3 linked regions of the Saccharomyces cerevisiae S288C genome follow. The gene in region 2 interacts genetically with the main gene of each other region. Each region holds a gene or a part of one and is shown on either strand. Other genes may lie near its edges.

Region 1 (3,759 bases), on a different chromosome or scaffold from region 2:
GATGACCTTTGCAGAGAGCCAGAAGTGCCTCAGCGGCTTTTGACATTAATAAATCAAATCGAAACCAAAGTGAAAAATAATAAAGTATTACAAGTAAGTGGAGTTCTAGGAGACGATTTGAAGAAAACCTCTTCTGACCTAGGAATTTTTGGCCATAGGTATAGATTAGCATTTAATAAAAAAGAAAATGGAGATTATGGCTATTATAAAGCAAGGGGAAAAGATAACGTCAAAATAAGGATACCCTGTGATTCTGAATTACCAGATTGGTTCAGGTTTCAACGAGATTTGTGGGAAAAAGAAAACGTTCCGGAAGAGCATCACTTTTATAGGGAACATATTTTTACATAGTTTACATTTTTACGTATATGTATAGATGATTTCATGATAAACGTTTTCCACTTTTCTATCATTTCATCATCTAAATGGGAATAGCAAACCCTGGGAGTTCTTTGTCGCACTATTTTCCAAGCGTAAAAAGGCATACTTCAATTTTTCTTTTGTTTACGTTTCAGGAAGTCAACAAAACTTGTTTACTTATAAACACAAATACCTACAGGCACTAAAGTTTGTTTTTTGGCCTCTATAAAATTTCCCTCAATGTTGTATTCTCTGCGTGTACATCCTCATAATCCTCGTTTTCTTCATCATCAAAATTCAAATAAGTGTGATCACCCATCGCTCTTGGTTGGAAGATTAATTTAACCAAAAAAATGATGCCAAATAAGGCGCAAAGCCCTGCAACGATGAGGTACAGTACGCCTAGTGACATATTTCTACCACCAATAGCTCCATTTGTAGTCAGTACAAATGATTTTGTGCCACCAAAGAGTGAAATCGGATAATTCAACTCAATGTTCATTTGATATTTACCCTTCGGTAAAGAAGCAGATTCATTTTTCAACGTCAACTTGTAAAACTTGGGAAAGGCTGCAGTCCTCATCCATACCTGGAACTCTTCCCAAGTATGGATATCAGGAAGATTTTCATCTGTATACCCATCGGGATACTTCTTCATCCAGTTTGGCGGTGGAACAATATCGCTAGCATTATACTTGGTGGTTTTAAATCTGTGACGATCAATACTCCATGATATATGCTTGTTAGTTAAATTATAGTCTTCTGTGTCATCTATACCACTCAACACCTGAGAAAATGTATCATTAAACATGGAATTAGCGATCAACCCACAGGGATATATTATTTTGTCTTCCCTACTTCTTATTGGACTACAGCTTGTATCCAGATCATCTTTTTTGATAGGCTCCCCTAATATTTGCTTTGTGTCAAACGATTGGACATATCTGCGATGATTTTGATAAAAATTGGTTATTTTATAATATATAAAAATGGATTTCTTGATATCGTTTGGGATTTCGAACTGCAGTTCGCATGATTGTTCGCCATTTTCATTTTCGGTTAGCCTCCATTGTGGTTTATTTTCAACTTTACTTTTAAAGTGATATTTAATGTACTTCTTTGGTATATCTTCAAAAGCAGTTGTAGATGCTTTTGTATCACAATGACTATAATCAATTGTTAGATCTTGTACCTTAGTAGCGCTTACAATGAGTCCAATACCAATAGGAGTAAATATACATGCAACGAATATTAACAACGGAAGCACACTTTGAGGAGACAGTATTGGTTGCCATGCCTTAAGCCTTTGTTGTCTAAACGCTGTGTTAGGAGGCTTTTTAGAAGTGGGGCCTTCTTTCGTGAGCGGTGGAGCCTTACCTCTTTTGAACAATGAAACCATATACAAGCTGTTCTATAGAACTTCAAGTTCGATTACTCAATTATTCTTTGTTCGCAGTGCGTCATGGACATAAGGTAATTGCAGCTCTTGTTTGATATAAATTGATGCTCATTATTATTATTATTCTCCAAAACAATAATACGGGTAACACTAATTTTCAGTAGTTCAAAAGTGAAAGCGACCCATATACAGTAAGAAAAGTTAATCGAAATTGCTTCTATTCTTATTCAAAATAGTATTCTCTGAAATATAGTATTATACAAGTTATATTTTTTTTTCTGAAATCATGATTTTCGTATATAAATAAATGCAGTTTTTTTATGCGTTGGATTGTAGAGGGGTTTGCCTTCTATTGATGGTGGCGGATTGGTCATCTTGTTCACTGGTTGTGTATTTTTTGGAATATTTTACTAATTGTTGTAAAATTAGTTTAATTTCGGGAACACTTTGTACAAAGGGCAGGTCTAAAAGATTAATATCGTTATTGTTTATCAACTGAGTAAAGAAAACTGAAACACCCCAGGTATGTGGTTTGTTAACAATAATTCTTTTTAAAAAGTTTCTTAAAATAATTTCTTGGACTTCAAGTTTTTGATCATTCCATTCGTCACTTTTGAACATATTCATTAACACAAAGCTGAACCAATAGGTGTGGATGTTTGGATACCGCAATTGTTCCACAATAGACAGAATAATTTGATATTTCATTTCGATGCTACCATTTTGAATCAGATTGAACAATAAAGTATAATAAGAAGACTTCGTATTAAATACCGCATTTGAAGAAGTTCTCTTATACTCTATTCCAGCTTCAATGCCCACATGTAATACAATAGCGCGAATTAATTTACTATCAACAGATAAAAAGTCGTAGCCTACGCCCTTTTTTATGTCATAGGTATCCTTGTAAATAGCGCTTAGTATTGTTCTTAATAATGAATTTGAGGGAATACGTAGGTAGTTGTCAACTGGCTTTTTCAATGAGTGTAAATCAATTACAGGATCAAAGAAGACTTCAGGTAGTTCTTTACATGCTGGAATATCCTCCATATTAAGATCCACGTCATATGGGTTGGGAACGGTCATATTCTTAGGAATAGCAGATAAAATAACATTCTTTAGTTGGAAATATGTTGGAGGTAGATTGTTCATTAATTCATAGTGATTTTCAATCAAAAAGGATGGCATATCATTCGAAATGCCTAAAATAACACGCAGTGTTCCCTTATAAACAACCGAAACAGCGTCAGAGACTGCATGTTTACTTGTGTATTGGTCCAAAAATTTAAACAAATCGATAATCAAAAGCATTAACTTTTCCCAACCTATTTTATTGGGTAATCTTAGCATAATTGGTAATAACATTCTGTGTGATAATAGTGTCACCCATGCAAATGAGAATCCAGGGAAGGCAAATGGTTGCAGAGCGTGCAAATATCCTGAGAAAGTGTTGTAAAATACAGAATCAAATTCGATCAGCTCCTGCCTAGTGCTGGAATCAGATATTCTAACAAAATTGTGCGTCCTGATGGTAGCCCATTCGTATAAGATGTTAGAAAATAGTCTGAAATATGGTCGTTCATTGAATGTGGTACCCTCTTGGCTATGATCCTTAGCAAACACTAAAACGATCACAGAAAATATTGCATTTATGTAATCTCTTCTTGTATCATCTTTGAAACCCTGTAAAATCAACAATTTTATAATTAGCGATCCTAGAGCATCAATAGCGATGAAAACCTCATCAGTCGGGTCACTTTCTTTGAATGAAGAAACTGATAGCTCAAGAGAACTTTTGACAAATGTAAGTAAATTATCAGTATCGCTGATAACACCCTTTTCGACTAATTGCTTGATAAAAACAGTTGTGATTACGTCGTTATTCTCAACTCTTTGAAGTAATTTTACCCATTCCGTAAATACTAAGTAAAGCTTTTCTGTTCTTGTGGTTTTGGTACCTTTCCTCACTGGCATTATCTTAGTATCTTCGAACTCTTTGA
Region 2 (3,759 bases):
ATTAGCTTTCGAAACTTCAGAGCATTGGCTCGTGTGAACAATACTAGATTTTTCCTCAAATTTTAATTCGTATTGCAGTTGCTAACTATTACAATTTTTGTTTATTTTATGCCTTGGAGATTGAACCCTCTGTTGTGATTAACTTCCTGTAAAAACTCCACGCAAGAAACAAAATATAAAAATAAAAAAAAAATTGGTAAAAAAATGAACAATAGAATACGCACGTATAAAAAAATACTAAAAATAAAATAAATGCCACCGACTCTATAAGTACACAGCAATAGTAATTAAAAAAAGACAGATGTCGCTGACTGGATCGTCAGCTGCACTTCAGTATTCCTTGATCCTCTCTCAAGTGGATCCATCCATTTCGGCCCCTAAATTTTTCTCCATCTCATCATACGATATTCCAAGTTGATCTTCGCTGACTAAGTAGGTTTTCCTACTATTCTATGACAATTCAAGTAGTAAAGTGCTTCTATTTTTTCGCAAACGATCATATTTTCCTTTAAAAGACGATAATGATTCTTCTGGAATATCAAATAATCACTCGCCTATGAGCTCAATATGGCCATTGGATGCCTTCTCTACTTCGAGTCCGCCTATGTTTAGAAGGTCGGCTATCATAGCATCATTATCAAATGTTGCATCTCCTTTTTGATTTTCCCGTGAACTTACTGAGCTTGAGCATGAGCTCAAACTTTCAGGAGTATTTATGTCATCACTCAATGGGTACAGCGATTTTGTGCACAACCCATCGATAACACTAAACGGTTTATCACTTAAAGACCAAACGTATAACTTTGGTACTTTTATTCCAATTCTTTTAGAATCCAATATTTCGCAAGCTTTATGGCCAATTTTCTTCCTTTTTCGATCTGGGGTTGGTAAGCTCTCGTCTTCATCTGTTGATTCATCATCTCTATAAGTGACCTCATCAATGTTGTAATCACTATCATAACTATCATTCCTTGGGCCTTCCGAAGAACATGTGAGGTTGGATAAGTCTTCTCTTGAACTATTATAGAGGCAATCAATATCCTTTTTCCTTGTATTAATAGCGACGTTGTCTAGACTAAAGGTGCGATCAGGTCCATCGAGCTCTACTTCGTCGATTTTATGCACATGCTCGTTGAGATGAAAAAAGCTAGACACATCTAATGTAGAAAAATGATTGCATTCACTGAAATGACCATCATCCAAGTTAAGGGGCGTACGGTCCTCAAAACAACTGCTACTATATTTTTTTTCGAGTGGTCTTGGATTTTTCACTCCCTTATCCGTACCATCCATTGGTGTCAATATCACGGCCTCATCAAAGTCGACATCTGATTCCGTTTCTGGATATTGGTGTGTAATACCTCTATTATTATTTATCGATACTGTTTCGCAACTATCGATGTGGTTGTCTACTAAAATATCAACACCAATGTCCTCTTCATCTTCATTAGTTGTTGAAGCCGAAGGACTGTGGTATTGTCGGTGAGATTCACTTTTACTTGTTGGCAAACCGAGCAGTACTACAGCCGAATTCGCCCCGAAGTTTACATCGCGCTTATTACTGACATATGTAGTATTGCCAGCTGACGTGAGCTGGTCATTAAATATATTATCTGCTTCTGTCTTAGAGCTGCTGCCAAGAGACGTCTTTTCCTCTACCTCGTTGGTGTTTTCCTCCCTAGAATATTTATAAGAATTTTTTTTTTTCTGTCTATTACTACTTTCTGGTTTTAATCGTTTAGCACTAATATAGCTACTCTCAAAATCCGAGGCCTTACTTATAGAGGGGTCCCAAAGAGCATCAAAGCTGCCATCATTATTGGATGAAAGGACGACAGTTGAAGAGGACGACGAAAAGGAAGCAGCTGTACCTGTCTCTTTTGGCTTTTTTTTATTTGGACTGTGTGGCTTGCGCCGCACGGTACTGTTAACAGGCGCACTAAGCAACATTTTAAAAGACTTTTTTATTCCGTACTATACCGCTGCTGTTCAGTTAAATGGTAACCTTCTTATAACTTTCTAGTGACCGCAATAATTATATTCCTTCTTTTAAGAAATTTCTCGATACAATTATAGAGGGCTTTTGACTCATTAATCTTACTGGAACCATTGACAGATTAGTCCGAAGAAGAAAACTCTAAAAAATCCGCTAGTAAGATTCAACAAAAAAAAAGTCTGCTTGCTATGAAAGTCTGATTTCTAGAGTACACACCTCTATAGCTACACTCTCAACTGATTGCTTCACTTTTTGAAAGAGGAAGAAGGACAAGAACTGGATTCACAAACTCAACTACATCTCGGTTTATCCGTTTAGACCAAGGTTTTATATAAGGCGAGGTAGAGTTCGGAAAAGGAAACTTTCATCGACTTCCCTTAATGATTATTGATTCCCCTTTGCTTTCTCTCCCCAACATTTGAAATATGATTTCTTTTTATTTCGAAAATGCCATTCTTCTCGTTCCCGTGATGTTTTCAATATGCATGCGGCAAGGGGAACATGATATTTCCGTTCTATGGCTTACGCAAGTAAGAAGCATGGCGCAATGATGCAATAGTCCATGGGGGAAAGTGTGGCCTCAAAATGAAAAAAAAAAGTGATGATAAATTAGTTATTAGGTAGTGATTATGTAAAAAAATTCGATTACACATTAATTATTAGGTAAAGTTGGTAGAAGAAACAGGAGAGAAAAAGAAGAGAAAAAAAAGGACAAAAAACGAATTTCATGTGGAAGTGTTCACGCTTTTGTTCAACTAATGAAGGTGCTCTCAACGATAGAAATACCTTTCTCGTGCTTATATTTAGAAGGTTGACAGTATTGATAAATGAAAGGTTTGATGCTCACAATTTTCTGAGCTAACGACCTGACCATGCTTGGTAACTCACCGAGAACGTCGTATCGATTAACCAGCCTCAAGTCGTGTTCTGAAAATCCACCGGGGAACTTGATAGAGGTTGGATATACCCAGCCGCTTTCCTTATCTGTACTCGTAGCACGGAACCTAACATGACGTTTTGGGCTCTGCACAGAAGAACCAATAGATATCAGTTTGTTTTTTTCAGTAATTGACCAAACTGTTACGGTGACGTTATCATGATCTCGAGGAGTAGTGAATTCAATTGCTAAAACAGAGTAGTTTTCGCTCTGAAAACATAGGAAATTCCATTTACTGGCTGCTTTATTCGGCAAAAGACCTTGAACAGCGTCCAGATAAACGACAGGAACATCAGTTAATGAAATATTTTTATTTTGAAAGTCCCCACTATTGAGTTTTTTATCGTAGGAAATATTACCATTACATTTACCTCTGGGCACAAAAACATGTCTGATCATTTTGTCTGAGGAAACGAATTCGTCACTCATCGAGATTTGTTTGTCAAAATAATAATTGCAACCGTTGGGGTTCATCTTAAAACCTTGAAACAAATCCACCAACAAATCGATTTTCAAATTTTGAATTGTATTGTTACATGTTGGTAAATCACATTTGATAGATAACTGGCCAATGGAACCTAATTTTTCATTTTTGTTGCTCAAAAATTCAAAAATAACATTTCTAGAGACAAACTTTAATGGTTGAAATTCAGCTATGTCATCCAATTTAAAACTTTCCCAAACGTCGTAGTCAGTATTATTACTTTCTGAGCCAAAAACCTTGAAATTCAATTGGAAGCCTTTATAGATACCACCCATAACCGTAGAATACAGTAATTGAACAAATCCACACAAGCCTGTATGCAAATCTGTGAAATATAACGTT
Region 3 (3,759 bases), on a different chromosome or scaffold from region 2:
TCAAATTCGAGCCTTTATTCTTATGTTCAATATGACTTTTGCCCGATTTATGCCTGCCTTTCTTGCTCTTATGGCCACTATTTTCATCATCTGATTGAAAAAAAACATTGAAAATATACTCATCATTGTCCACATTGGAGGTTGTTCTCGTACTAGGTTTTTGCGTCTTTTTATAGAGCTTTCGTCTTTGTTTCCTTTCTTCCTGTTCCCGTTTTTTGGCCTCTTTCTTTTTTAGTTTAGATAGTTTTTCATCATTTAGCATTAACGGTAAAGATGTACTCAAGGATAGCTTTGGCTCTGAACCATCGCCATAATAATAAAGATTTGCAAATTTAGGATCTTCATAAAACGGCATATCAAAATCAGACATTATTTCATCTTCTTCGTCATCTTCTTCATCATATCCGTTTTCTTGATTGTATTCATTTTGCAAAAATTTATTTTCAGCATCTTCTACAGGATCAGACCCTTCTTCGTGTATACTACCATCGAATGAGAGTTCGTCGTCATTTTGTAGCTCAGAAACAATGTTTTGTTCTTCTTCTTCCAATATGGGAAGATCGTCTTCCCCCGTTTCAAGATCTGTACCAATTTCTCCATGAGAATCTTCATTGTTAATCACGTCAAAGTACGCATCCTGGTCAATATCATATTCAGATTCATCTGACTCTGAAATATTGGGAAATCGTAACTCATCGTTGTTACCTAACATCACCTTAGAATCCAGTTTATCTTCTTCATTACCATTGTTCTCTTTGTTTTTTAAATCCAAGACTTCTTCACCTATATCCTCGTTATAGCCTTCATTACCATTACCAAAACTAATGCCGTCGTCCTCTTTTTTGAATTTAAACGATAGCGCCTGTTGTGTAGTAGTAGTGCCTGAACCGTTTACTTCTTTTTTGTTTGATTCTTGTTGTTTTTGTTGCTCTTCTTTCTCTTTTTCTTTTTCTTCTTTCTGCTCTTCTTCATTTTCTTTCTTAGGGGATAGTTTAACTGATTTATTTTTGTTACTGTTCTCACGAGAGGAATAGAGTGTATTGCTATTTGTATTCATGGCAGATAAAGCTTTCATGGCTCTTTTCTTTCTTTGGGCCGTCAGTTTGACAAAATCTATATTCTCGTCATCAGAACTTGTTTCGCTATCACTATCACTATCACTTCCGTCATCATCATCGTCGTCGTCGTCTTCGTCATCATCTTCTTCTTCTTCTTCACTCTCTTCTTCTTCATTTTCACTCTCTTCGCCATCTGTTACAGCTTGGTAATCGGATGACTCTGTGCCCTCGTCGTCATTGTCTATTTGCCTTTGTATAAGTTTACTTTTTTTTCCTTGGGAATTATTTGAAATGTTCTTTGCTTTTCTTTTAATTTTATGTGGGTTTGTACTTTTGTTTTTATCAGAATCAGATACGTCACTCAAGGATGACTCAGAAGAGTATATAAGGCTAAATCTTCTTGGCCTCGTTGTACTCAGTGTGGGTGGTGATTGCCTGGACTTTGTATCGGATTCGCCCTTTTTTATGAGCCTTTTAATATTTGCTGGCAGTTTACCAGAATGTGTACTATGATTGATCGTACTTTTTCGAGGACTTTTTTTGCCTGCCATTTCGTTCTGTTTCCAGTTTGCCGGTTGTTTTTTCCTTATTTGTTTATTTGCTTCCTTGTTGAATTTCCTTCAATTTCAACAAGCTTGAAAATGAATTTCGTAGAATGAATATTACTATGTTTGAAATGGTTATTGCTTATGATGCTCACCGAAGTTAAAAAAAATATTATAGGTTTGTCCTATGTTAGAATTGTGGAAAGGGAGGAATGTAATAAATAAGCAGTAATTAAATATAGCCTTTTGAAGAGTTCCTCCTTTTAATTTCTTGTAGCAAGTGTTTCGAATGTATTCAAATATTACCAATGATTATACAAATACTTACAGCAAGTCAATTAAAGAGCCGTAAAAGCTAAACGTCAAAACGTGTAAAGCACCTATTATCTAGTCTCTTTTCCCTAGTTGTACTTTAAATCAATTTAGTGATGAGATGAAAAAAAAAAAAAAAAAAAAAAGAATTCCAACGAAAAAGAAACGACGGGCAGGGCAACCTTTAGAGATTTCAATCCGTATAAAGAGATGTAGTAGGCAGTACGGGTAACATCGTCACAATTCATAATGGAACTATCTAGCTTTTGCTTGATTGCAAAGTTCTACACCCGTTGATACTTCAAACATCTTTGCAATACGTAGGTAGGGGTCGCGTACTAGCAGCCTCCTAGTTAAGTGTATCTTTCAATCGCATTACGGAACAACTAGGCATCCCGAACCCCACACGGAAAAATCGGAACAATAACTGAAAATTTCCTTTTTCTTTTTTTTGCTCTTCAAAGTCTCTGCCCCTCTATTGCGTACTCGATTGATTTTTTTATCAAAGGCCATCTCAGACAAGTAGATCTACATTGGAGTTTCTCATAATATTATCACTATCGGAAGGTAGCATAACCTTTAATAGAGTTTCCGCTGTTTGCTTGGCTCGTTTTTTTGTTTGTACTATGCCTATTGGCGCAAAGAAGACAGAGTGTGCAAACAAGAGATGAATCAGAGCGATAGCAGCTTGATGGATTTACCACTGGAGATACATTTATCATTACTAGAGTACGTGCCTAATGAACTTCGTGCTGTCAATAAATACTTCTACGTTTTGCATAACCACAGCTATAAGGAGAAGAGTTTGGCGTGGATAGCTGAGGACAACTATATATGGGCCGTTGTCAAACATTCATTATGTTTATATGTCAAGAGTTTGGACCCACTTCGACAGCATGCCAGAGAAATCATTCAAGAAACGAAGGAACCAGGTTTTAATGTGCCACTGTGCATGACTAAATACATCGCAGATTCTTGGTATATTGTATACAATGCGCTGCAATATCCTGGAAAGATAATTAATATGGGATGGGACAAATATACCAAAAGTCAAGATTCAAATGGTTCTGATTCTACCAGTAACTTTAATAGTCGGCCCAAGGAAAGAACTCTTATGCAGTCGTTGACAGCTTTACCTGTTAACTTTTGGTCCAGGAGGAAGGACGAGCCTACACCGGTAAACGTTTGGTTTTATGTAAAAAATGCGCACGTTGCCAGATACATACCGAAAATTATTACGGAAATAGGCATATGCAACTATGGGCCGAAGCAGATCGTGGCAAGTGCAGGATATATCAACGAATTGATAACATCTGAAGGAATATACTGTGTTAACCTAGGCCACCTTCCCAGGCTATACGATGAGCAAATTTTTGAAGGCACTGGAACGACACATCTTCCCCTGGAACTGAAAGCTATCGACAGGACAGATTCAGATGTTTGTATCAATGGTGATTTAGTTCTACTCGGTTATGACTTTATTCCATATCAGATATCGAAGCCGTGGTTACTCTTTAGAATCGAACCCGTAAATAGCATTGAAGCAATCTTCAACTATAGTGAATGTTCTTTTTCATACCAGTTTGCATGGAGTTTGGCCTGCTTACAATCTGAAGAGAAAATTTCATTTCCTAGAGACACGATAATTGGGCACGGTTTACCTTACAAGCCATCCAAATTGATAAGAATTTTCGTCTACAAGCATCCGGAACAAAAGCAAGATCTTGGTCAAGAAATAGCATTGCCCAACTGGAATACCCCTTATCTTCGAAGATGAAAAAAAAATTTATCAATTAGTCTATAATATATGTGTATATACGTCTATGCACCTACCTACTTATAAA

What was found.
Region 1: mutations in CRF1 (region 2) and CDC50 impair growth when combined (synthetic growth defect), as found in Saccharomyces cerevisiae (one study listed by BioGRID).
Region 3: of CRF1 (region 2) and IFH1, extra expression of one rescues a mutant of the other (dosage rescue), as found in Saccharomyces cerevisiae (2 studies listed by BioGRID).

Annotation. Positions count from the first base shown.
Region 1 is NC_001135.5:284,762-288,520, reverse strand, and holds CDC50 (aminophospholipid translocase regulatory protein CDC50), read right to left. Parts: upstream 1,760-3,759; coding exon 584-1,759; downstream 1-583. Other genes in the region: OCA4 (Oca4p), read left to right, coding at 1-351; CCR4-NOT core subunit CDC39, read right to left, coding at 2,078-3,759.
Region 2 is NC_001136.10:910,290-914,048, reverse strand, and holds CRF1 (Crf1p), read right to left. Parts: upstream 1,951-3,759; coding exon 547-1,950; downstream 1-546. Other genes in the region: YDR222W (uncharacterized protein), read right to left, coding at 2,748-3,759. UniProt on the Saccharomyces cerevisiae protein: Transcription factor, corepressor with FHL1 of ribosomal protein genes. May be involved in the blocking of the spread of silencing.
Region 3 is NC_001144.5:583,882-587,640, forward strand, and holds the start of IFH1 (Ifh1p), read right to left. Parts: upstream 1,610-3,759; coding exon 1-1,609. Other genes in the region: UCC1 (Ucc1p), read left to right, coding at 2,583-3,692. UniProt on the Saccharomyces cerevisiae protein: Transcriptional coactivator that together with FHL1 regulates the expression of rRNA and ribosomal protein genes. Its activity is negatively regulated by environmental stress.